6 separate regions of the Mus musculus genome follow, and regions 1, 2, 3, 5 and 6 are each reported to be linked to region 4. Evidence: microRNA targets listed by miRTarBase, many of them from high-throughput screens and not tested one by one. Region 4 holds a microRNA gene; each other region holds the end of a gene's coding sequence. Distances are from middle to middle.

Region 1 (4,090 bases), not on the chromosome of region 4:
GTACCCCAATCCTACTCATCTCCCCATCCCTTCATACCTGCCCTCCAAATTGTTATGGAAGCTATAGTATGTGAGACTGTGTCCCACAGTATGCCCTTTTGTTCACACTCCGTTACTTGCAAATGCTCATTGCAATGAGTCCTTGGTCTGGTTTGAGGCCAGGACTATCAATACTGGATCCTAGGACTCCTCTCAGATCTGCTTTTTTACCTGTGTCACTGAGATCCCACAGCTTTGGGTCTGCAGGACCAGTCCTTTAAAGAGCTCCAGAAGCCCAGAGATGATGTGGATGTTGGGGTGGGCCAACTTAAAGCTCTAGATTTGGGCCTGGGTTGTAGCTGAGCTGGTCAGACCTCCAGCTCTCCAGCACCCAAACTACCAGGCAAGTTCTCCAGCATTGCCCTGGCTTACCCAATGCCAATCAGCAAGGGGCAGAGCCAGCTCTTCTGCTCTCATGCCCCTGGGGGTCAGCTCACCCACAACCACTCCAGCAGGAACAGCTTTATTATGCTGCCCAGGTGAGGCGCAGAGCCCACTCTACCAAAGTGTTGCAACTGGTGAGGGGCAGGGCTAGCTCTCCAGCTCTGCAGACCCCAGGGCCAGCTCTCCCACCTGCATTTCAGTGGGCCCTAAGGTAGTTGCCTCTGTTACAGAGTCAAGTCCTAGAGAAAAAAAGCTTGAGTCAGGGCTAGAAGAAAGTTTGACTGTCCCTGACACACAGACTGAGAGTACAAAGATAAAAGGTTTCAAAGCAAGATGGCTCAAGCTAGGGTACAGTCCAACTACATGAGCTTGGTCCCCAGAACTCACATGGTGGGAAATAGGACAGACTCTTGTAGGCTGTCCTCTAACCTCAGTGCATATAGCAAACAGATGGAAGAGATGTAAACTAGGTAAAAGGCTTCAGTTTTTTTGTTTGAGAACGCTATACTAGCCAAAACAAAACAAAACAAAACCCTTGAGCTTGACTTAAAATAAGGGGCACCAAGCTCTTGCCAACAACTGGACGGTTTTCTCAACCTTAGGGGTGGAGGTGGGGTGGGTATGGAATAACTTTGAAGGGGAAAGCCACAAAAGCTAGTGAGAAAGGAAAGCCTTGGTCAGAGTCAGGGTCTATATCCAGGGACTTGTGTCCAAGTTCCATTCCACCACTGCCTCAGATCTAAGTGTCTCTACTCCACATCGCACACTGAGAGCTTTCTACTTGGCTATCCTGTCCCATAATACTCTAGACCAGGGAAAAAGTGAGAACAGATAAACTGAGGGACCTCAAGGGAGATCTTGGATTTTAAGCTCAATCCTTAGCTGGATTGGGGCACGGAGGTGGGGTGCTGGAATGCTTTCTCTGTGAGGAAACATAGTTCCAGAGACTTTGTAGCAAGAGATCAAGCTGTGGCTAGGACTGCTAGGACAAGTCCTTCACTTCCTCCCACATGGAAGAAATCACACTGCTCAGCCAATCCGAGGCTTTGGATGTAAAGAGGCCTGGACCATTTCAAGACAGAACTCTTCATACCTAGATTCTGGGCACTCACAAACTCTTTCCTGTAAATAGAATGAATAGTGTAACTGATGATGCAGAAGCCATGACAGAACAATCTATGCAGCAGAGCCCTCTAGCCTGGGAACAAGTGAGGGGAAGGAGCCTAACCCTAAGCCAGCCCCCTTCCCTAGAACTTCAATAAAGGGTAAGCTTCTGCAACACTGTGCTACTAAAGACTGCCCTGTAGCAGTCTTGGGTGCTTAAATAAGATACACTATTACAATGTGATACTGCAAACCCTGGATACCCAATGCACATGTACTTAGCAAGTGTATCAAAACACACACACACACAAAACCTCTGAAACAGCTTTTTATTAAACAGCAAAGCAGAACTTGAACACAATTTTAAATATCTGTAACAAGGTCACAAAAGGGTTGCAAAATGTCTGCAATGTGAGGATTACACATCCATATAGCTAACGTCACTCATCAAGGCTTACATTAATACATTAGATAATTCCACAAGTCAAAGCAGCCCAGCCTAAGAGCCACCAGCTGCATTAGTGGATCTTTCCTATTATAAGACTTCACTATTATTTCTGATATCAGCTCCTTATCAAATGGAAGCTACAAACTAAATTTTTAAAATTTGTTAAAAGAATGACTAAAATTCTGCAAACTAAGTAGTTGAGTTTACAGAAATTCTGGGAAAACAACTGAGATAAAATACCGAGGTTAATAATTATCACATATACAAAACTCTTATATTCATGATTCTGATATTAATATACTCTCAATTAATTTTGCAAAAGTTCATTTCCTGGGTACAAATAAACTTTGAGACCAAACTCTTAACTAGTCTCTCTTAATCCACTTACATTAGACTCAGTCCACTTTCATATATGTCCCCAAAGTGCAGCTGTGGGCCAGAGGTAATACACATTTAGAGGGAAAACACTGCGAGCTGGTTATTTCTGTTAATCCAGTTTTCCTTCTTATTCCTATCTTTTCTCAAGTTTTTTGTTTGTTTGTTGTTTTTTAATTTCTCACACACATATGACCAGCATTCCTATCTTTTCAACACCAAATGAACTATTTTATGCAATAGGGAGTTTTTAGCTTCTCAGTGTGGCAGTTTACATTTCAAAGAAAACTCTTCATTTTCTATAGCTTCAATCTACTTTCGATTGATTAAAGAGAAACCAGCAATCCTATCTTATTACTAAATATCACAAACGGCAAGCCTTAGATAAGAAAGTGTCTTATTTTGGTTAAGTGTCAACAATTCTAGTTTAGGTTACTCTTGTAGGAGAAACTGCTGAAGTTACCGTCAGGGAGGGAGATGGGAGAGGCACAAGACGGTGCACAAGGTACAGAAGCTGTGCATTCAGTACATGGTTTTGGTCACTTTTCACAACATGGTTATTTTTTTGTATATTTTACTAGTTAGGCTTATGATAAAAGACAGTGCTAAACCTATATATATATAAGCAAATTGGCAAAACATTCATCTTCAAGTTTCATAAATATCTGTAATTCTAATATAAAGTCTCTACATGTGCACATTTTCATAGACTAACGTATACATATAGCGTTAACTCAGAGATGCTCCTGTTCAGCATTAGTGTTACCTAGATGTGACATTCTCTTTATAAATACTCAGGGAAGAACAAAGATACTCTAACTTTTGGATCATATCCAAGCCTTAAGGGGGAAGAAAAAAAGCAGCAATCCATAGAAGAGAGGGAGGTGAGCCCTTTACTTCCTTTTGCTTTTTGTATCAGTTGTTTGAAAAACACTAGAAGCAGACATGAGGTTTTCTATATATTGTCCGAGAACTTGATTTTCCGACTTTAGCTTCAGATTTTCTTCCTTAACTGCATCTACTCTTGCAGAAAGATCTGTATTCAAAATAAATAAATAAAAATACAATTACCAATAAAAATCATGGCAATGACTCCATGTTACAAATGCAGACCAGGCTGTGGGGTGACTCAGTGCTACAGCCCTTGCCTAGCATGTGTGATACCCTGAATCTGATTCGTAGCACTAACAACAAATAAATATCACAATTTGTAAGTTTTCTGTTTTTTTTTTTTTTTTTAATTCAGGTTATTGGGGGAAAGGCTTAGGTTAAAAAAAAACCTTGTACTGAGTACAAATCAGAAGACGGTGATTGTTAACAGTGTTTGCCATGGGACTCGGGAGTCTGTAGAGAGCATTTCTTTTAACTCTTGAGGTGGTTAAGAAAACATTGCATTTCTAAAGTATGCCTGTCCTCCCACACATAATGGTCATGTCTTTACTGGAAATGTTTAAGATGCAGAGCTTAACACAACTGGATTCCTAAGTTGGATAAAAGATCCAAGCAGCTGATCTTTTTATAGTTTTATATTAGTTAAAAATTCAAGAGATATAGATTCTAATGGACAAATAAAAAATTATGTCCATTCACATATTTAACAAATGTATATTGACCAACAGAAGCAGACACCATTCTAGAAGCAACAGAGAAAAACATGGTTGTATGTGGGCACCTGTGACTCAGTAACATGGGGCCCAGGTATCAAGAGTCACAACTTTTCTAAAGAAAAAGCAAAAATGG
Region 2 (4,090 bases), 16 Mb from region 4:
AAAGAAAGAAAGAAAGAAAGAAAGAAATTCTCAAAGTGCTAAGATGACACTGAACAGCTGCGACAGAAAGCTCTCTCCCAGATGTGCGGAATTGCAGGCTGGTCTCCAGTCGATCCGAGGTCTGAACCCCCATGGTCATAATTCACCTACATGACATGGTAGGCATTCCCTCATGCTCCTGGAACTCCGGCCCCTGCCTAAGGTACCACCTCCCACAGCCCCCACAAGAGAAGCATGGTCAGTAGTTACTTAAGCAATGGCCCAAGCTTCTGACCTTCAGGCTAAACTCCTCCTCAGTTACCTAGCAACAGTGACGACCATAAAAAGGGGTGCTCAGCCTGTACCTCGCTCTCTTATTCCTTTGTCCTCTCACCTCTCTCTTCTCTCACTTCTCTCTCATCTTCCCTTTCTCTTTGTCTTCTCCTCTCCTCTCTCCTCCCTCTTTCTCTCTAGCCTTCCCTCCCTCCCTCTTCTCTCTTTCCCTTGCATTTCTATAATAAAGCTCTTAAACCATAGAGTGTCTCTGCTCCTTCAAGTTCCGCTGCACACTCTGGTTAGTGTTGGGAACTTCTTCCCCCATTCCCTCTCTCCCACAACCCTGGTGGCTTTAGCAAAGTAGCTTGGGGGGGTCCCCAGGCAGGGCTGCCCCTTGGCCACCCCCTGAAGAGTGGGATAGAGGAATGCCCACCCAGGGATGAGTGGATAGGGTAGGTAGCAGCCTTCCCATGCCTGACTGACCAGAGAATAGGGAAACTCTGACAGGGCGTTGGGCATCTTTTTCCTATCCCACTTCTCCCCGGCACCCCCTCCCCCCCTGGATTTTATTTTGTTCCCAACACCTAGACACCTCTAGGTACCTTCAGTTTCCTCAGCTTCTCCACAACCTTTCGCACTCTGGCAGGTAATTGAAAGTAGACAGCTGCTCAGAAGGGAGGCCCTACCCTTAAAATCATATGGAAAAGAAAAGCTGTGCCTGTCACCCTAAGACTTGGGAAGATGAGACAGGAGGATTGCCATGAATTTGAGCTCAAACTAGTCTTCACAATTAAGTTACAACCCAGTGGACTACAGACTGAGTGAAACCCCATTTGTTGGTTTTGTTTCCTTTGTTTTATTTTGATGTTTTTTTAGATTTTTGGTGGTGGTATTTTGTTCTGTTGGTTTTTGTTTTCTTGTTTTGTTTTGTGGAATTTTCTTCCCCCAACCCCAATTGAAGACCTGTAGACCACTAGATCTGCCTACTCTTCAAACCTAGAACAGCCCAGGGCTTGTGAGCAGAAGCAAGAAGATCAGCAAAAGGGGCCAAAGTCTAAATGATACGGCTTCTGCTTTCCTTCCTGGAGTTGGCAGGGGAGGGATACAAGTCTCTGTGTGAGTCATTTTCTAAAGGCACTCTATGCCCCGCTGTTTCTTCCAGCATGCCTCGCTGGATCATTAATGTGTTTCCAAGCAGATTGTTTTGTAGGAAGCATTTATTTACTGTCATCATTAAGATTTGTGTGTTTCGTCGGAAGCATCAGTGTTGAGGCCTATAAAGCACATGGCAGAAGCAGACATGCATATGGGAGGAGCATTCCTTACATGGACCAGCGGCAGGCAGGCTCACCATTCCAAGGAGCGATGGAAATACAATTGAAAACACACTCAGGATGTATTACACAAAATAATTTACTTCTCATTCAGAATGACTTTCCAGACCTATTTGTGAAACAGCAGTCTGTGAGTACAGGTACAATCTCAAAGTCATGATACTATTAGGGCAAGACCAAAGAGTTATACAGACATGATCATGGATGGGGTGTATAACAAAAAGGAGTTAGGAACACTGATGGGGGAGCTCTGGGGACATTACAAGCAAGACTGTCAAGAGAGACGAAACGAGTACCCTTAGAAAATTATTTCTTCAATACGACGAGACTTGGATACACACTATTCCAGTGTCTTCATTTTGCAGCCCGGTACATTGGCTTACTAGCCACAATGGTGCTCACACATGTAATTTAAACTGGAGCAATGACTGCAGTGTTGCACGAATGTGTGTGTGCTCTCAAAGGCAGTACTTTTAGAAGAATGAGAAGGAAATTACTTCTTGGGCATTCATTAATAATTTGGGTAATATCCTGTACCTCCATTTATAAAACAATACAATAATAAAAACACTGTACAAAACATCATAAATAACACAAATGAGAAATTTTCAAGTATTTCACGTGCCTTGAAAAGCTCCAAGCAGTAGTCCTACCAACTGATAGCCTCTCCTCTTCTGTTTTCTTTTCTCTTTCTTTTTCCTTTCCTCTCTCCTTTCATTGGTCTCTGCTAGCCTTGGTGTTTGGGATGGGGTGAACAAGCTCTTACCTCAAAGCAGAAAACCAAAGAGGGCTTTGCAGTTCATGAGAACTTCCTTCCTCCTGATAAAACATAACCTTTCCCCCCGATGATGCTTTACAGATGTAGGCATGTAGCTTAGAACCACGGCAGGTAGCCGTGGTTTTTAAAGTGAACAACCAACCACAGGGAACTAAGGAGGCTCCTCTGACAGGTGACATTCTTGAGGGGAAGGAAAAGAAGAGCACCTTATCAAAAGAGGAAAGAATTAAGATAATCTTTAGGTCCTCTGCCCTCACCTAAGCAGTAGTCCTTGGTAGGGCTAGGCAGCAAAGCCTGGACCACATTCCTTCATTCAGCTCAAACATTCAGCTCTAGACCAACCCAGCTGCTAATCAGCACACCCTGAGCACCCAGGCAAAGGAGGGAAGGCCATCAGCAGAGGGACTTAAAAAGTGCCAGTAGTGATCACTGATGCAAGGCAGTTCAGTGTCAGTCAGACAGCAGAGTTTTCAGAGTGCTCACCCCTTAGCTTAGTGCTCAATGTGGAGGCCATCAACAACTAAACACAAAGGCCCTGGCTATTCTCCGCCAAGACCCAGTGGTTCTATAGAACTCATTCCCCACAAGTTACTGTTCCTTTCTTAGCCTGCATGGCAGTTAATTCAGTTTGCCCTGTTCAGACACGGTATGAAGGACCAGAAATCAGAACATGCATGCAAGCATGTCTACACACTCCAGTTTGAGCACCTAGGATCTTTCCCATCTTTTCTTAAAGAAATGTGTGTGCATGTGTCAGTATATACATATATAGATAGATAGATACATATTCATGCACATTCACACACATTGAATACATAGGTATAATATATACAGAATGTATATGCATATGTTATGTATATTTTAATGTATACATATGCATACACAAATATCACCTAAACATTGAGAGTCCGTAGGAAGTGCTGCTGGCCAACATTACATGTGCATGGAATGTCACATGAAGTGTACCAACTAACTAACTTGAGGTCAAACTGTTGAAAGGGGCAGACTGCCAGCCATCTTTGAAAATCCAGACCTACGGAGCCATTATTTGGAAACTTGCTCACCCTTAAGGAGACTTGGGAAAATTTAAAACAAATTGGGTCTTACCCTAGTGAAAACCCCAACACCACAACTAAGGCTAGTTTTACATGGAAGTGACTCACACGCGGCAGGCAGCATGGACACTAGGCTACAATGTGGATAAAGCATTGGTGCTTAAGATCAATATTTGGCCTCAGGTTTTTCAGAGCATAGAGTCTTGGCATTTGGGCTCCCTGCCTCTGTGTGAGAATTAGGCACACTGGGAGACCAGGGAAGTGCAGTCTGCAGAACTCTTGGCTCCTTTCTGCTTCTCTGCCCCGCAGCTGGAAGGATTGGTCAGGTCAAGATAGAATCGAGACTTGAGGAAGCGGCGGTAGGAATCCTTTTCCATCAGGTTGAAAATCTTCTTCTGGGCTTCATCAAAACAGGTTATTGTGGGCTGTAACATGTTCCGGCTTGTCTCCTCTCTGGTGCAAGAGTCCAGGTTCACCTGAAGTGCAAAGACCAAGGTTGCATTAGATCTAGTGCCCTGTTGAAGAGAGGAGGCTGCAGGCTTGGAATGAACAAGGAGTGGCTGGGACCCTTTCTTTACATTTCTCCCCGGAATGAAACCCGGGACATTTGGGTCTGCCCTGACATATGTGTATAAAAGGTTCCCTCTGCCTCTAAGTGGAAGGAGAAC
Region 3 (4,090 bases), not on the chromosome of region 4:
AAACATAGTTGGATTTTTAGAAGTCAAGTAGACCACATTCTAGGATGAAGTGCTCTCCAGAGAGACACATGCCAGTGCTTTACACAGGTATGGTTGGGGGTTTTCTCAAAGTTTTAAGTACATAATAATAATAATCCTTACCTACATAAAATACTAACATACTTGTGAGATTTTACTGACATGTGGTACTAAGTGTGCAGAGGTTGTGAGGCTGTAGCCAGGCTTGCACAGCTTGAGCAAATAAGCTGCCTAAGTTTGTCCTCATTGAAAATTTTTTCTAGAATAATCTTTGGAAGATTGCAAGTCTTTTCTCCAGTATCATGAATATCGCTAATGATTGGAGAATCCTCTATATACCTCCATGTAAATCCTAAGGGAATGGGTGGACTTAGCATTGAATGTATCTTTATGTAAATGGTTGTCGTTTCCCTTGGTCACAGCATGAAGAGGAAGTTCTCAACATACGCAGAGGACTACAGTCATTATTCAAGGCTCATGAAGGAAATGATGCATGAAATCTGGCTGCTGTCAATGAATTTTATGATTAGTTTTTTGTGTATAAATAAAGCACTAATAAAGTAGCTTTGCAAAGATGCATCATCTAAGCACCTCTATTCTTGTGTGCAAGAACCTCCCGACTCAAATGTTAGAGATGAAAAACATGACTCCAAATGCAGCTTGTATGTCCTATGAGCAAACAGTAAAAGGAGCTGACTTTCCTTGGATCATATTTTTATATTAACTATGTCTGTGAAAGTAGTGTCTGTACTAAAGTATTTATATATAAAGTGTAATTTTAAATTAATGCAGTTTTGGAATAAAATATACTGAAATTTGCATGATGGTTTGTAAATATACAAGTATTAAAATATTAGCAATTCTTTGAAAGAGGAAAAGGCTCTGCTTTAAGATCTTTAATTGTTAGTACCTTCATACTTTGAGATATATAGAGTTACAGTGCACTAAAAGTGTTAAAGTGACCTAAAGTTATAGCTATTTCATAAATATTTTATCACAGTGTAGAAGTCTTAACTACAAAGCAGGCTGCTTGCCATTTCTTTCTAAGCACCTGGTATTCACCTAATATTTTGTTAGATTGTATTTTAAATAAATGCTTATTTGAGTAAGTATAATTACTTTACAGTTACTATTATTGTGTTTTATGAACCATGACTTACAAGCCACCTTCAGTCAGACACTTGAAGGTAATACCAATCTGAAGGCTGTAGAGTATTTGAGCAATACCAGCATTTAATATTACAGTGGTGAAGTAGTTTCTTAGTCAAGCACAAATACATTCTTGGTGTATTCAATTGACATCAGCTAAGATTTTAAGATTTATGAGGAAAATGATGGGAGTTTCTAGTTTTAAGAAAGAGAGAGATTTTACATTTTATTAGCCCTTAGATGAACTGTGTGTACAACAAAGAACTGCTAAGATTAATTTTGTAACTCTTGTTTTTTGAGACATGGTCTGTGTAGACCTGGCTAACCTCAAATTCAGTTCTGCCTGCAAACATTAAAGCCATGGGCCCAAACAAATGTCCTTCAAATGATGTATTTGTAAAATCATTAGTTTCATTTTTTTTTCAAATTTTTATACACATTAAGTAAAGGTTATTCTTGGGAGTATTCTAAAATAATCTCTAGAATGAAATAATTTAGTTCTTTTTCATTAGCCAGAAATTTTGAGTGAGATCAAGGGTTACATTGTTTTTGAACCTTAATATATACTGTGATGCCAAAAATTTATACTGAAAAGGAACTTGGAGAAATGGGCTGCCCTCTAATGGAATACCACCTTTAACAGCAATAGTCTTTGTTATTTACCTAATTTTATGTGCAGTTTTTATAACTCAGGCAAGTTATTTTGGCTGTGATTTTGAGTATAGAAACTCAAAATAGATTTGATAATTTACTTATGAGTTGTTCTGTCATTCATGTTTAATAGATATAACATATTCATTTATTTTTAAATTTAGACCAGGAGTTAGAAACTTGCTATTCAAGGTCCATGTGGTAATATGCTTTAGGATTTATGGGACAAGAAGCAATTTAGAAATATAATGTGTGTATTTACATAATTATTTCTAATGTAATCATTTAGAACTACCAGAGCTGGCCAGAGAAACAGGTAAACTACCTGCAGATCTTTACCTCTTCCTCCTCTCCTCCAAATCTAATCCCCCAGTCTCATCCGCAGATCTGTAGCAAACCGTCTACTATGGCCTCCCCTTCCTTCTGCCCCCATCTCCAACAGACTGTGCAAATATTCTCCAACGTTCCTTCCCGTATTCATCCCTTTATCCCCTGCAACCTGCAGGCTCGGCCACACCAGCCAGAGAAGCAGATAAGGGTAACTGCAGACCTTTCATCACCTTTCCCTCTTCTCCAAATCCAATCACCAAATGCCACCCCCAGCTCTATAGACCACCTGTCTTCACCTCTCTTTGCTCTCTGCCATTCCCAAGATGCTAAGCAGATCCCAGTAGAATACCCTGCTTTCATTCCTCCGGTGGGACCACCTATCTATCCCCATTCCTAAGAATCCGCTCCCAATACCTAGAAACATATTCTATGTAGAAGCCCCCCAGTGGCCACACCTGGCAGGATTCCAGAATTCCCTACCAGGCAACACAGGGCTACCATATTCCCTTAAGAACCAGAGAGGGCAACAGAATGAAAGAACAAAATACCCACCCAACAAGGAGAAGACCACATGTCAACAACTAGAATTACAATCCTCCCAAACCCAGATACTTAGTAACATAAACACAGTAACAGGTCAACGTCTTTACTAGAGCCCAGCAACCCCACTAGAGCAAGCCTTGAGAAATGCAACATAGCCGAGCAATAGAAAAGCTCTTAAGACAGCCTTGTGAATACAGAGGTCTTTAAAGAGGAAATGAATAAATTCCTTAAGGAAATCTATGAAAACACAAGCAAGCAGTGGAAGAAAATGAGTAAAGCAGTTTAGGACTTACAAATGAGAATAAAGAAAACCCAAACTGAGGGAAATCAGGAGATGAAAAATTTAGGGACTCAGATAGGAACCTCACAGACAAGTCTCGCCAATGGAATATGAGAGATGGGGGAGAGAACATCAGGCATTGAAGACAAAGTAGAAGAGAGCAATACCTTGATCAAAGAAAATGTTAAATCTAAAAAATCTCCAGCACAAAACAGCTAGGAAATCTGTGATACTATAAAGACCAAATCTATAATTTGATAGGGATAGAAAAAGAATCCCATGTCAAAAGTACAGAAAATATTTTCAACAAAATCATAGACATTGTCCTTAACTTAAAGGAGATATCTATCAAGGTACAAAAAGTATACAAAATACCAAATAGACTGGACCAGAAAATTTTTCTCTCCGCTCATATGGTAGTTTGAATGAAAATGACCTTCATACACTCAGGATTGGCATTATTTAAATGAATTAAGACACGTGGCCCTGATGGTGGAAATGTATTCCTAGGGTGGGCTTCAAGGTTTCAGAAGCACAAGCCAGGCCCAGTGACTAACAATCCTTCTGATGCCTGCCACTCCATATGTAGAACACTCAGCTCCATGCTGCCATGCTTCCCAACATGATGGCAATGGACTAAACCTCTGAACTGTAAGCTAGCCCAGTTAAATGTTTTATAAGAGTGGTCATGGGTTGGGAGCTGGAGAGATGGCTCACTATTTTAAGAGTACTGGTGGTACTTCCAGAGGACCCAGGTTCAATTCCCAGCACCAACATGGCAGCTCATAACTGTAACTCCAGTTCCAGAGGATCCAACATCCTCACATAGGTAAATATTCAGGTAAAACACCAATGCACATGAAATAAAAGTAAATGTATATTATATATATATAATATATTCACTTATATATTTACTTTTATTATATATACATATAATATATAGTCATAGTGTCTTTTGACAGCAATAGGAGTGGAGTATTGCTATGATAGGCCACATGGTACTTTTTTTGAAGGAATGTGGACTTTGGGACTTTGGATTATAAAAGCAGTTTATTACTAAGTTGTAAAAAGTTTCCTATGAAAGCTATCTAAGGCGAAAAGCGGAGAGATCCTAAGCAG
Region 4 (4,090 bases):
GGGGCCTGGGAGGGAAAGTGGATGGAGGAGAGGTAGGGAGTGTGAGGGAGAGGGGAACCTGATCTGGTACTGGGTGAGGAAAAAGGACTGAAGCCCCGAGGGCCAGCAGAAAGAATGGAAACAGACAATCCTGGGAAATAGGAGGTTGATGCAATGCCAGACAGCAGGGAGAGGGGACTTACACAGCCCACCTCCAGCAGGAAGACAGGGCATCATCAAGTGAGGGATGGGGTTGCCATCCCACAGTCAGAACTCTGACCCATAATTGTTCCTGTCTGAAAGAATTACAGGGATGGAAATGGAAAGGAGCCTGAGGAAAAGAAGGTCCAGTGGCAGGCCCAAAGTAGAATACAGTTCAAGGGGAGGTCCCAAGGCCTGACACAATTACTGAGTGCTCACAAAAAGGGACCTATGACTGCCCTCCAAAAGACCCAACAAACAGCTGAAAGAGTCAGATGCAGGTATTTGTACCCAACCAATGGACAGAAGCAGCTGACCCCTGTGGTTGAATTAGGGAAGGCTGAAAGAAGCTGAGAAGGGCGGATCCTGTAGGAGGACCAGCAGTCTCAATTAATCTGGACCCCCGAGATCTCTCAAACACTGGACCACCAAACAGACAGCATACACCACCAGCTGATGTGAGGCCCCCAACACACATACAGTAGAGGACTTCCGGGTCTGTGTTCATTCAGAGATGATGCACCTAACTCTCAAGAGACTGGAGGCCCCAAGGAGTTTAAAAGTCAGGTGGGGTGGGAGGTGGGGACATCCACATGGAGACAGGGGGGTGGGGAGGAGGTATGGGATGTGGAACAGTCAGAGGGTGGATGGAGAGAGGGGACTAAAGTATGGAGTGTAAAAAAATAAATTAAAAAAAAAAAGAATGTGCAGCTCAAAGATCTGACCAGGACTGTCTGGGGATGAAGAGTAGACACACTGTGATTTTATCTCTTGTTATTTGTAACTTTTGAAAACAGGCCATGGAAACATTTACTGTGAGACAAACCCACCCCAGCCTGGCTCCTGTGCTCACCTGTCTCCCCCAACTGCTCATTATAAGTCAGTAAGGAGCTCCAGGCTGCCAGGTCCAGAGAAGCACCCTCTCTTGAATGCTGCTGCTTGACAGTACCCGCCCAAGACAACTGTGTGTGCAGTCATCCCACTGCCTCCGAGCCTCAGACCACCTGTCTGCCCACTGATGCTCTACTGGAATGTGCCGGAAGTCAACATGCAAAACCCAACTTGTGCTCTGCGAGATTGGCCCCCTAAGGATCTTCTTTATTCTCCTTTCAGGGAGCAGGTGCCACGTGTGATTCTGTCACTTAGGGGAAGAGGGGAGTGAGTCCTTGTGTCCCTTTTCTCACTTCTCAAACTGACCTGAGCGACTGTATGACAAACGTCAGATTGCTGCATCCGCTCTAAGTCCATACTCTCACATGCCTGAGCTATGTTGCTGCTGCTTTGATTCCTTTTCCACACCTCTTTCTAAGCAGCACCCCAGGGGTGTTTCTTGGTCTTGTCTATTTGTTTGAGACAGGGCCTCTCTACATAGGCCTGGCTTTCTCAGAAACCAAGTTCAGAATAAAATGCACCTTCCTTATCTTCACGTCTGACCCTTCTGTCATGTCTGAGCTGGCTTCCTTCTCCTCCCACCCTGTCAGCCACACTGACCGCCCTTGTTTCCAAGTCCTCTGAGGTCCTTGGGGTCCCCAGGCTGACAGTTTGGCTTCTGCTGAGGATGCTCTGACTACAAAGCTTCCCACGGCTGGCTGGCTGGCTGGGTTCTCTGGAGAGGCCTGTCCTCAGCATCCATGTCTTCACGTCCTCTACACCAGAGCAGCAGTTCTCAACCGCCCGAACACTATGATCCTTTCATACAGCTCCTCATGTCACAATTGTACAATTACTTTCGTTGCTACTTCATAACTGTCTTTTTGCTACTGTTATGAATTGCAATGCAAATATCTGATGTGTGAGATAGCCGCTATGTGACCCCTGTGAAAGGGCTGTTCCACTCCACGTTAGAATTTATGCTCAGTTAAACTCTCTGCTGGCTTCCTCCATGCTGCCTACTGGCGTTCTGGCAGCACCACCTACTCATTTAGTTCCTATTTATCTCTATCATCGGAATAGAAGCTTTCTCAGGGCGGCGTCCGGGCTGTTGTGTTTCCAGCACCAGCACTATTCCCTAAATAATAGCTATTTATGTACTGAATGAGTTAATTAAGACCTTTATGTAAAGATGTAGATAAAGTTATTGTGCTGTTATTGCTTTCATGTGTAGGCTGGGGAGTAAATGAATAGAATAATGTTTTCTATCCAGTCATTTTCCCCAGCCAGCTTCAATGTTCCAAAGTCTAATTAGCAGAGCAGGGAGGGGACCCTGGGCTGAACTCAACACTTTGGAAATCATATGTTGACATTTCTCTTAGCAGAAAACTGAAGACACACGGAAGTGTTTACCAATAGAGCATCCCACACATTACATATACAATACATAGAGTATTCCACACAAGAACGGTATCCAGGACTATGCAGACAGAATCAGCAGGCCTGAGTGCCAGACACCTTCTGCCAGCCAGCCCTCCACATAACTCCTGCCTTCCCTAGAGCAGGCTTTGGACAGTTCCTGCTGACTTCTGCCTGAATTCAGACAACAGGAGTTCCATCAGGAGACCAGAGAGAGAAAGGGCTCCTTCCCCGAGAGCTGGCTGTACCCTGAGGAAGACTCATCTTGCTCCCAGGCACGATTTGTGAGTGTGAAGATGGCCCCCGGCCTGTAACTCTTCAGGCTTGGCTGTGGCTAACAGCCTGGCTGTTAAGAAGTCTAGTGTATGGACACTGCTGGGGCTTACACAATAGCAAGTCCGGATAGCAGCATCTCTGTAAACAAGCCTTCCAAGCACCCTCTGTCTTCTGTCCTCCGCTAGGACAGAGGCTGACAAATGTCCCCTTAGTAACCCTGATGTGAAAGGAGTTGGTATTATAGAACTATTTATAAGAACCTGCCTTCCCACATGACAATATGCATATAACTTATGCACTTATGCACAAACCAGGAGCTAAACACCAATGATGAGGACCTCTGGATAGAAGGAAAGTTTCTGTTGTTCTTTTTTTCTATGTATTTATACGCTGTTCTATTTGTTTGTTTGTTTTATTTTGTTTTTTGAGACAGGGTTTCTCTGTGTAGCCTTGGCTGTCCTGGAACTCACTTGTAGACCAGGCTGGCTTCTAACTTATAGAGATCCACCTGCCTCTGCCTCTCTCTGCCTCCTGCCTCCCAAGTGCCGGGATAACAGGCGTTCATGTAACACTAGTGCCCAGCCATTGGTCAAATTCTTAACATATATTACAACAATGGAAGATATTTTAAAATAGTATATCTCTTTCTATTTTCACTTTTCCACCTTAATTCAGAAGCCCATTACTTCTCACTAAGATTAGTACAGTCTCCTTATTAGTGTTTTCTTTCATTCTTTGTTTAAAACTTAAGGTGGAGTATGGCCCCATTTCTCATTCTGGCCTTGAACTTGCTGTATTCCTACAAGAGCTGGAATTATAAGCATGCACAAACATATCCATCTTCTCCTAATAGTGACCATAAGACTAACAGAGACCATTTCCAGTCTCTAAGCTGTCTTCAGAGTGGTTTTCTTCTAACGGGCAATGTGAGGGCACTATTGCTGAGAAGTCAGCGGTTCTTGACTCGGCTGAGATAGCCCATTCCTGTGTAAGTGCATGAGGCCTTCAAGGTTAGGTCCCTGGCTGTGTCACCAGCTCCCCTGGCACTCACTTCAGGCCAGTGTGTGTGTTGGCTATAGAGCTTGTTCTTTTCCTGTCAGATTCAGTCAAGTTGCTCAGTGCGGGGCCTTTGTCTTCCCCCTTGGAGCCTACCACAGTGCTCTACTCTTCTGTGGATCTTTCAACTAGCCACACACTCTGGACAAGCCAGGACTTTGCACCCCAGTGTTTCTGCTTTAGGTTTTTTCTTTTCTTTCTTTCCTTTATATAATATATATAATTATATTTAATATATAATATGTGAGTGAGTGTGAGAGAGGGAGAGAGAGAGAGTGAGAGTGAGAAC
Region 5 (4,079 bases), not on the chromosome of region 4:
TTAAGGCTAAATTAATAAGTTACTATTATCCCTGGATCATATGTTTTGAATAGTCACTAGCCAGCAGGTAGTTTCCAGTGTGTCACAGCTCCAGCAGGTGGACACTATGTTTCAGCTATGTTCAGATGTAGAAAGCAAACCACGGAGAGTAACTTTCTGTGTCACAGTCCTCACTGGACTGCTTCTGAGCTAAACTCGGGTGAACGGCTGGAGTCAGCCTCTTGGGAATCCAAAATAAATGGATATTGAAGGGTATTTCGGACTACCAGACAATAGTACCAACCATACCGTCTGGCACACTACATAGTGAGAGGCTGCCAGAAGCTTGGGAAGGCTATACTCCCTCTGTTGGAAGCTGCCAAACTTCAAAGCTCACAAACCTGTGCTGTGTCTGCCCCTGCTGACTGATTTGAGAACTGCTGTTCTCCAAGCTTGGAAGCACATCCTCAGAGGAAGGTGAGGCTGGGAGAGCTGACAGAGCTACCCTGCCCTTTGTGTTTTTTTAGGGAGTGGCGTATTGCCTACACTCCAAGTTGGAACCTCTGCTCTGACAAATAATAATGCCTTAGAATAGGCTCTGGGAGACTGACCACTGTCCTGAAAATGTTATGCTCTGCAGAATCACGATAGAAGATGGGGGAGATAAAGGCCATTTGTGTGTGTTTGTTTGGGTTCTTTGTTTTTGTTTGTTGTTATTTCTTGATTTTTGTGTTTGTGTTTTGGCTGGTTTTGGTTTTGGTTTTGGTTTTGGTTTTGGTTTTGGTTTTGGTTTTGGTTTTGGTTTTGGTTTTTCGAGACAGGGTTTCTCTGTATAGCCCTGGCTGTCCTGGAACTCACTCTATACATCAGGCTGGCCTCGAACTCAGAAATCCTCCTGCCTCTGCCTCCCAAGTGCTGGGATTAAAGGTGTGTGCCACCACTACCTGGCTTAAAGGTCATTTTTTAATGAATTGGAATAAAGTTCAGAAGTCATGGGTTCCAGTCCCAACTGGATCACTTCTTCAAGTGACAGGTTCAGTTTAAAAACCTAGGTTTTACTAACAATCTGAAGGTTACCCACATGTGATGGGTTATATGTGCATAAAAGAGGGAAACACTGGCCAGTGGGTAGCAAACAAACAAATGGGGATGTGAAGGGATGCTTCATAAAATAATAAAATGGAGATAATAACTTCCTAAATTAAGTTGAGTACCTAACTGAAAATATCATGTATTCCAATTCATTACCAAGTTCAGTTTAGCAAATCTTTCTGAAAATCTAAGTCAGAGGTCAGCCCCAGAACTGATACAAGATACAAAAGAGAGTCCAGGTAGTATTATTTGGAGATGGTCAACACCACATACTCACATAGTGAAACGTGATACTTAGAAATACAAAATGGCAAGTTCCAATGGTCATTTCCCAATATGAGAAGAGTTCTGAACCTCACTATTTTCCAGTTGGAAAGAGAAACAGCATCCCCATTAAAGCCTGGGGAAGGTGATCAACACAGTTGAGAGGAGAGGGGTAATCGTTCTCACGACTTGATTGTGGTAAAGCTTACGTGCATGTATTTTACTGGCAACACACAATCTACCTTTTTGGAAGCTGACAAAAATAGAATCTGTGGCACCTTTGTTAATTAATGAGCACTTAGGGTTTTCAAACATGTGTCCATCAGCCTACTGGAAAGCCAACAGACAGATTCCTCAGTCATGGGAACATATGGTGTTTGTCTGAAGATGCTAGGTTCAACAGTTAACCAAATATTTGATAATGGGAGATGCTCCCTCAATCTTCTCTTCTCTTTCTGTCCTCTCCGTGTTTCTGCCTCCAACTTCTGTTTGTTTTTTTCCTCAACATATTTTTGTGTCCATATCATCTAGATACAACTCTTCCAACTTCTACTTCAGCATAAAATATATGCCTTCAGTGCATATTTACATGTGAAATAAAAGTAGACACTTCAGGAGAATCGGTGAGTGAAGAACACTGATAAGAGCTCTCCTCAGTCATGCAGCTCCACAGGGAAAGATAAAGTAGTGCACTGAGGATTAGCGAGTGGATTATCATAATATGCTAACCTTCACCTTGATCATTGGAGCCAAATCTGGATGGTTATCTAGACCTGGAAACAGACAGATTTGGGTGGATAATTATATATTAGCTCCCTTTAAATCATATAAATTCAAGCCCAAATATGTCCTTCCTGACAATGTTCATACTTGAATTTTTAGGCTATCCATGAGCAAGTGTGCCTATGCCAAGCTGATCTTGACAGTGGATTGTTGTGTCCGGCCAGCAGACCACAACCTGGGTTCTAGCCTGGAAAGGCATTTTGGAAACCTGGAAGAGAAGAGGGGCTAGGTGGCGAGAGAAAGGAATGTAGCCAAGACAGTTATTCTGATCAAGGCTCAAATTTTATTGTTGCGACACTAGTTATGAAGGAAGGGGGAGGGGACCCGATTCCCGCCGAATAATCTCTGGTCCAGTAGAAAGGTGCACGTGTGTGGCTCCGCAGGTTCCAGCAGTGGGCGTGGCAGAACAAATGAGCAGAAAGCTCCACCCCTGAGCAAGCAGGTTTCAGGCTGGGGGAGGGGAGACTACAGTGGATAAGGAAAGTTAGATTGGGAATGGAGAAAAGATAAAATAACAAAACACCTACACATGTTTTACACTCAAGTGTTGCCTTGTTGCTAAACAAAAAGAATGTTCGCATGGGACATGATGGCTGTCCACTCGATGGAAACATGTCATGTGTGTAAGCCTCTGGGGTAACACTTAAATCTGAGGTAGGATGAAAAAAATGATTTGTGAAGGTTTGACCCTTATTTTTTGAAAGAATGGGGTCATGACAAGAGAGAGAGAGAGAGAGAGAGAGGGAGAGAGAGAGAGAGAGGGAGAGAGGAATGAGAAGGTGTGTCAAAGGAAGAGATGGTTCTTTAGAAGTTGGGGCCCCCTGGCCTGCTGCATTTCCTTCCATGGAACTAAAGGAACTAAGCAACAATGCAAAGTTTTTTTTTAAAAAGACTTCTTTATTTGAAATGCACCATGTGATTTTTCCCCCTACACCACACATAGAGTCCTAGCTATATTTTACTCAGGCTAATACTACTTAGGCATGTTTTACCTGAATCTATACCTACTACAGTCTAACTACACTCCTGGGAGCACAAATTGAGAGTAAGAAACGACACCCTATATTTCACTTTTGCCCCCAAACAGTTTACATGTGGATCCACCGTAAGCAACTGGGTTTAATGTAGAAAGAGTCTACCACACACACACACACACACACACACACACACACACACTATGTATTCATGCATGCACAAGTACACACACAGACTTGCATACGTACATGGCACATGCTTGTGGGCGCGCACGCGCGCGCGCACACACACACACACACACACACACACACATATGAAAGTCCTGTTGTTCATTTATGCCTGGCCCACATGCTGGGATGTTGACCTGGCCTTTCTAATAACTTAAGTACTTCTGCCAGAGTCATTTCGATGTGCTGACAACAGCTGTAGAACTCTAGCAGGAGACCAGACGTGTTTTACTGATGGTCTGTCTTTCCCAAGGTATATATTGTAGGATTGGTCCTTTAAGGCTTCAGTTTCTTCACTGGTCCCCAACACAGACTCCTTTCTTTTGCATCCTGGCTCCCTGGATGGATGCCCAGCTTGATGACAAACCATAGGAGCTATGATCATAAAATTCTACAGACCATCAAATGTTCATGGTGAGGTTCACGCCACCTACTCGATAAAATGGATGGTTTCCATGTAATTACGGATAAGTAATGCCCCAGAGTAGATAGGCCACACTTCTTCACTGTTGGAGGTACTTGTCTGAATTCCTTGGAGAGAAAATTATTTCCACAAGGTGCCTGTCCTCATTTGGGTGCAAGGACAGGTCATTCTTTTTCGGTATGTTTTCAATACACCTTTTTTGCAGTGTCTTCACCTGGAATCGTCTCAAAAGTGTAACCAAGACAACTTTCATCATCACCATGGCGATGTACTTCCCAGCACAGCCGCGGGGCCCAAAGCCAAAAGGCTGAAAGTACCTGTAGGGAACCTATGAA
Region 6 (4,090 bases), not on the chromosome of region 4:
TGGTCACCTAGAACGCATGGCCCATTCTGCTTGGCAGGGGGCTAAAGAGCCCCTGGTACCCTGGACAGCTAGCACTGCTTTCCCATGGCAAAAAGTTTTTGTTTGTTTGGTTGGATTTGGTTTTTCAGGATAGGTTTCTTCTTTGTGTAAGAACAGCCCTGGCTGTCCTGGAACTCGCTTTGTAGACCAGGCTGGCCTCAAACTCAGAGATCCTCCTGCCTCTGCCTCCCAAATGCGGATTAGAGGCGTGTGCCACCATGCCCATGCCTAGTGTTCTCCCTGGCAAATTCAAAGGTGTTTAGGACACAGGTTATAATATTTTAAAGAGCAAATAAAGCCCAGGTGTGGTGGAATCCCAGCACTCTGGCAGTCAGAGGTCTCAAGTTCAAGGTCAGCTGGGAAACACAACGGTGCCCTACCTCAGACGAGCACAGTAAACCAAACCAAGAGGACTTAGCTATGGTAGAGAGGCTGCTGACCCCACCAGCATCCAGACCACTGTGTTTCCAAACAGGGATATTTCTCACAAATACTAAGTTTTTGTCCTGGTAACTTGGAAATGCAAACAGAACTGACCTATTGAGAGATGTTACATAGTGTCTTGTTTTTATTTTATGCATAAAGAGTGTTTTGCCAGCATGTCTACATAGCATGTGCATGTCTGGTGCTGACAGAGGCCAGAGAAAGGCATCTGATCCCCGGAATGGGAGTTACAAACGTCTGTGGCCTGGCTTATGGTTACTGGGACTTGCATCTGGAAGAGCGGCCAGTGCTCTTAATCACTGAACCATCTCTCCAGCCCCCTATGAAACATGTTAAACTTGAAATGACTTCATAGTCACTAAGAAGGTTTTTTTGTTTTGGAAGACAATGTTCTTACAGAAATAATCCACACAAGAAAACTATGTCATTCTAAACAGGGACAGGGCTTCCATTAGCTTCACGGTGGGGTAGAGGAAGAGACCGCTCTCTGTAAATGGTGTGAACTCACAGAGGACCCAACAGATCTGTGTCTGTGCACATCAGTCCGCCTGTTGTGGGACCAGCATCACGGCAGTGTCGACACAAACGAGGCTGGAGGAGTACAGTGTAATACACTCAGATACCTGCGGCCCTTCCTCCCCCATCCCAGCACACCGGACTACACGTGCTGCTGAGGCACTGGTACCAAACCTGGCACATAGTTCAAGATCAAGCTTATGCCACGGAGTCTCATGACCAATTAGTAATACAGGGGAGAGGTGAGGCCCACCTGCCACCATGAGATATAAGTACGTGTGTGTGTGTGTGTGTGTGTGTGTGTGTGTGTGTGCGCACGCACTAGTAAACAAAGGACATCAGACTGTGTTAGTACACGATTGTCTCTCACCCACATTATTTTACTTTCTTTATATGACAGTTTGGGGGCTGGAGACAAAACAGTTCTGACTTTGCAATCATGAAGATCCAAGTTAGGATCCCTGAACACACATGACACAAGGTGTCCTGAAAAGACTGATAATCCTAGCACCAAGGAACCAGATGGCCTCTTCTGTCCCACACAACATACACTTGAAGACACAGAGATTTACACACACAAAGTAATCCTTGAAAATAGAAAGTGTTGGTTTTTATCTACGAGACTGATTTCCTAATCCATTCATGAGTCTTAAATCATAGTTTCAAACAAAGTGATATACAACACTTACCTATTATGGAACATGTAGTATTTTGTTTTGTTTTAGTTTGAGTGTCAGTGTGTGTGTTGCTGAGGATCAAACACATCACCTCCTGTATGCTAGCCAAGCATTTGATTACTAAGCGATCTCTCCAGATCTTCTTTATGACGTTTGCTTGTAAGTGTCTTCATATATAAGTGAGGCTGGCCATCACCTCACTGTGTAGCCCAGGATGGTCTCAAACTTGAAACCCTCTTACCTCAGCCCCGTGAGTGAAGGGACTACAAACACGTGCAACCATAATCCAATGACACAAATTACTTATGTGTCTCCGGTTAATTAGTTTGGAATCATAAAATTGTTAAATTACATTTTTTGTATGTGTGTGTGTACATTCACATATCAAAGCACACATGTGGAAGTCAGAGGACAACTCTTAGGAGTCAGTTCTTCTATGGTGGCTCATGCGAGGGAGAAAACTGAGGTTAGTAAGCTTAGTGGCAGGCACCTCTGCCCACTGAGCCTTATGACAGGCCCAAGGAATTTAAATTTCTAAGAGAGAGAGATTTCAGTATAGTGGGTCTTGTTTTTTTTTTTAAACTCTCTTCCCTGGTATAGACAAGTGAAACCCCTGAAAATCATGATGAGTTTGCAAGGGAGTTCAAGTAAAAAGTACCCCTGGAGCCCAGCCAGCCTGCCCAGAGGCAGAGAGAGACTCTGGTATCAGTGCTGAAATGCAATCTCATTTCCCCTGTGCTAGAAGAAATAATTATGAGACTCTTGCGGCTAGAGAGAACCTTAATGTCAGATTCCGTTTCCTCTGTCAGATGATCAAAGTCAAATGGCATTTCCTTTACAAGTCATGAGACTAATTCTAGTCCGGTCCAAAACAGTTCCCTTCAACCAGAAGTACAATGCAAAATGAGTCACTAAGACGGTCACTTTCCTTATTCATCCTCTCTCTCTCCCTCTCTCTCTCTCTCTCTCTCTCTCTCTCACTCACTCACTCACTCACACACACACACACACACACACACACACACACACACACACACACACAAGTACAAACTTCTATTAGTTAAAGGAAAGCAGATGAAGAGAAACAGAAAACATATACATCTTAAGTTTCTTATGGGGCTGGAATGTAACTCAGTGGTATGGCTGCTCACCAGTATGTGCAAGGCGCTGAGTTCCAGCCCTGTACCAAGAAAAAGAATGCTGAATATATGTCCATCATATATTACACTTTAGTATTGTATTTTATAAGGCCATCATCAAGGTGCCAACTTCTAAGTCACAGATACCATAGCTCACTTGTGGATGGCACTAAGAGCCAGCGTCTTCTGGCTCAGGAGTCTGTTTTGCAGCTGCTGTGTGCCTTTGTACTGGCATCTGGAGGGTCCATTCCTGGTTCAAGGACAGAATCTTGAAGGCTGATGCTAGCTCTGATGGCTCTGGAAACAGGTGCTTTTCCTCATGAAAACATCCACTGTGGACTCAACAGACAGTACAGGAGGGTCAGCTCTGTGCGTCCCCCTCCCTTCTTCCAGCACCATCCGTGCCCGGCAGCCAAGGAGAAGGGAACACACAGGATCACGAGCGGATGCTGTGACAGTCTGTGAGAGGATACTCTCCATCCTAAATCACGAGGATGGCCCTGGTTCTAGGACTTTCCACCAGCAGCAGCAGAGAGCCTTCTCCAGCACTTATGGAGTCCTCTGGGATTTCCGGAAGTGCCACTGTCCTTTAAGTTCAGAAGGTGCTCTCCAGCAGGCAGTGGCAGCCACACCCCGTGGGACATACCTCCTGGGTCCGAAACCACTCCATCATGTGGCTCGTGTGGCCACCATGCCCACAGGTCAGGCAGAAGTTGGATGAACCCCGCACGGCCACATGGCAGATGGCACACTGGAAGGTGAAGCCTTTGCAGATGGCGCACTGGGTGCCACGGACCTCGCTCCGACAGTGACTGCAGTACACACCAAACTCTGCAAATGGGTGGACAGGGGCAAAGCAAGAGGAGACATTAGTTCTAATAAAAGCAGACTGAGTCTGGCTGGGTAAGGATACCGACTCCTCTCAGGACCCTGTCAGGCTCTGGCAGATCAGTCATTTCTTCCTTCTCTCTCATCCTCATGCATTTTCTTTCTCCCTGGTCAACCACGTAACGCAAAAACGTATCTACTGGGGCTGGGGAGATGGCTCAGCAGTTAAGAGCACTGACTGCTCTTCCAGAAATCCTGAGTTCAATTCCCAGCAACCACACGGTGGCTCGCAACCATCTGTAATGGGATCCCATGCCCTCTTCTGGTGTGTCTGAAACTGCAACAGTGTACTCATATACATTAAAAAAAGAAACAACAGCCGGGCGTGGTGGCACAGCTTTAATCCCAGCACTTGGGAAGCAGAGGCAGGCAGATCTCTGAGTTCGA

Evidence for each region. The annotated mature microRNA mmu-miR-664-3p reads UAUUCAUUUACUCCCCAGCCUA and lies in region 4 at 2,282-2,303, opposite strand. An mRNA with a match to its seed (bases 2 to 7 or 8) in the 3' UTR can be bound and repressed. Matches are read on the target gene's strand: a 7mer-m8 pairs with bases 2 to 8, a 7mer-A1 pairs with bases 2 to 7 and ends in A, and an 8mer does both.
Region 1: the mRNA of Scoc is a reported target of mmu-miR-664-3p. Seed matches in the 3' UTR shown: 7mer-A1 at 2,251-2,257.
Region 2: miRTarBase lists Rgs4 as a target of mmu-miR-664-3p. Seed matches in the 3' UTR shown: 7mer-A1 at 3,153-3,159 and 7mer-m8 at 2,096-2,102.
Region 3: the mRNA of Sycp2 is a reported target of mmu-miR-664-3p. Seed matches in the 3' UTR shown: 7mer-m8 at 531-537.
Region 5: miRTarBase lists Cyp19a1 as a target of mmu-miR-664-3p. Seed matches in the 3' UTR shown: 7mer-A1 at 3,299-3,305.
Region 6: the mRNA of Wdr59 is a reported target of mmu-miR-664-3p. Seed matches in the 3' UTR shown: 7mer-A1 at 2,607-2,613.

The regions. Positions count from the first base shown.
Region 1 is chr8:83,432,655-83,436,744 of GRCm38, forward strand. It overlaps Scoc (short coiled-coil protein), which reads right to left. Exons shown (of 4, transcript NM_019708.4): 4 at 1,838-3,386. The coding sequence ends at 3,244. Among named protein-coding and RNA genes, the nearest start is that of Scoc, 8.0 kb to the right of the region's middle.
Region 2 is chr1:169,740,023-169,744,112 of GRCm38, forward strand. Rgs4 (regulator of G-protein signaling 4) reads right to left here. Exons shown (of 5, transcript NM_009062.3): 5 at 1,455-3,898. The coding sequence ends at 3,659. Among named protein-coding and RNA genes, the nearest start is that of Rgs4, 5.6 kb to the right of the region's middle.
Region 3 is chr2:178,342,758-178,346,847 of GRCm38, reverse strand. Sycp2 (synaptonemal complex protein 2) reads left to right here. Exons shown (of 44, transcript NM_177191.3): 44 at 441-1,553. The coding sequence ends at 515. Among named protein-coding and RNA genes, the nearest start is that of Sycp2, 63 kb to the left of the region's middle.
Region 4 is chr1:185,241,225-185,245,314 of GRCm38, reverse strand. It overlaps Mir664 (microRNA 664), which reads right to left and starts at 2,340; the gene lies at 2,272-2,340. All of the region lies in intron 9 of Rab3gap2 (RAB3 GTPase activating protein subunit 2), which reads right to left. It overlaps Snora36b (small nucleolar RNA, H/ACA box 36B), which reads right to left and starts at 2,389; the gene lies at 2,277-2,389. It overlaps Gm34882 (a long non-coding RNA gene), which reads left to right. Exons shown (of 3, transcript XR_373795.3): 3 at 978-1,606.
Region 5 is chr9:54,162,934-54,167,012 of GRCm38, forward strand. Cyp19a1 (cytochrome P450, family 19, subfamily a, polypeptide 1) reads right to left here. Exons shown (of 9, transcript NM_007810.4): 9 at 3,004-4,072. The coding sequence ends at 3,824. Among named protein-coding and RNA genes, the nearest start is that of Cyp19a1, 29 kb to the right of the region's middle.
Region 6 is chr8:111,447,434-111,451,523 of GRCm38, forward strand. Wdr59 (WD repeat domain 59) reads right to left here. Exons shown (of 26, transcript NM_001170742.1): 26 at 1,351-3,646. The coding sequence ends at 3,411. Among named protein-coding and RNA genes, the nearest start is that of Gm24793, 31 kb to the left of the region's middle.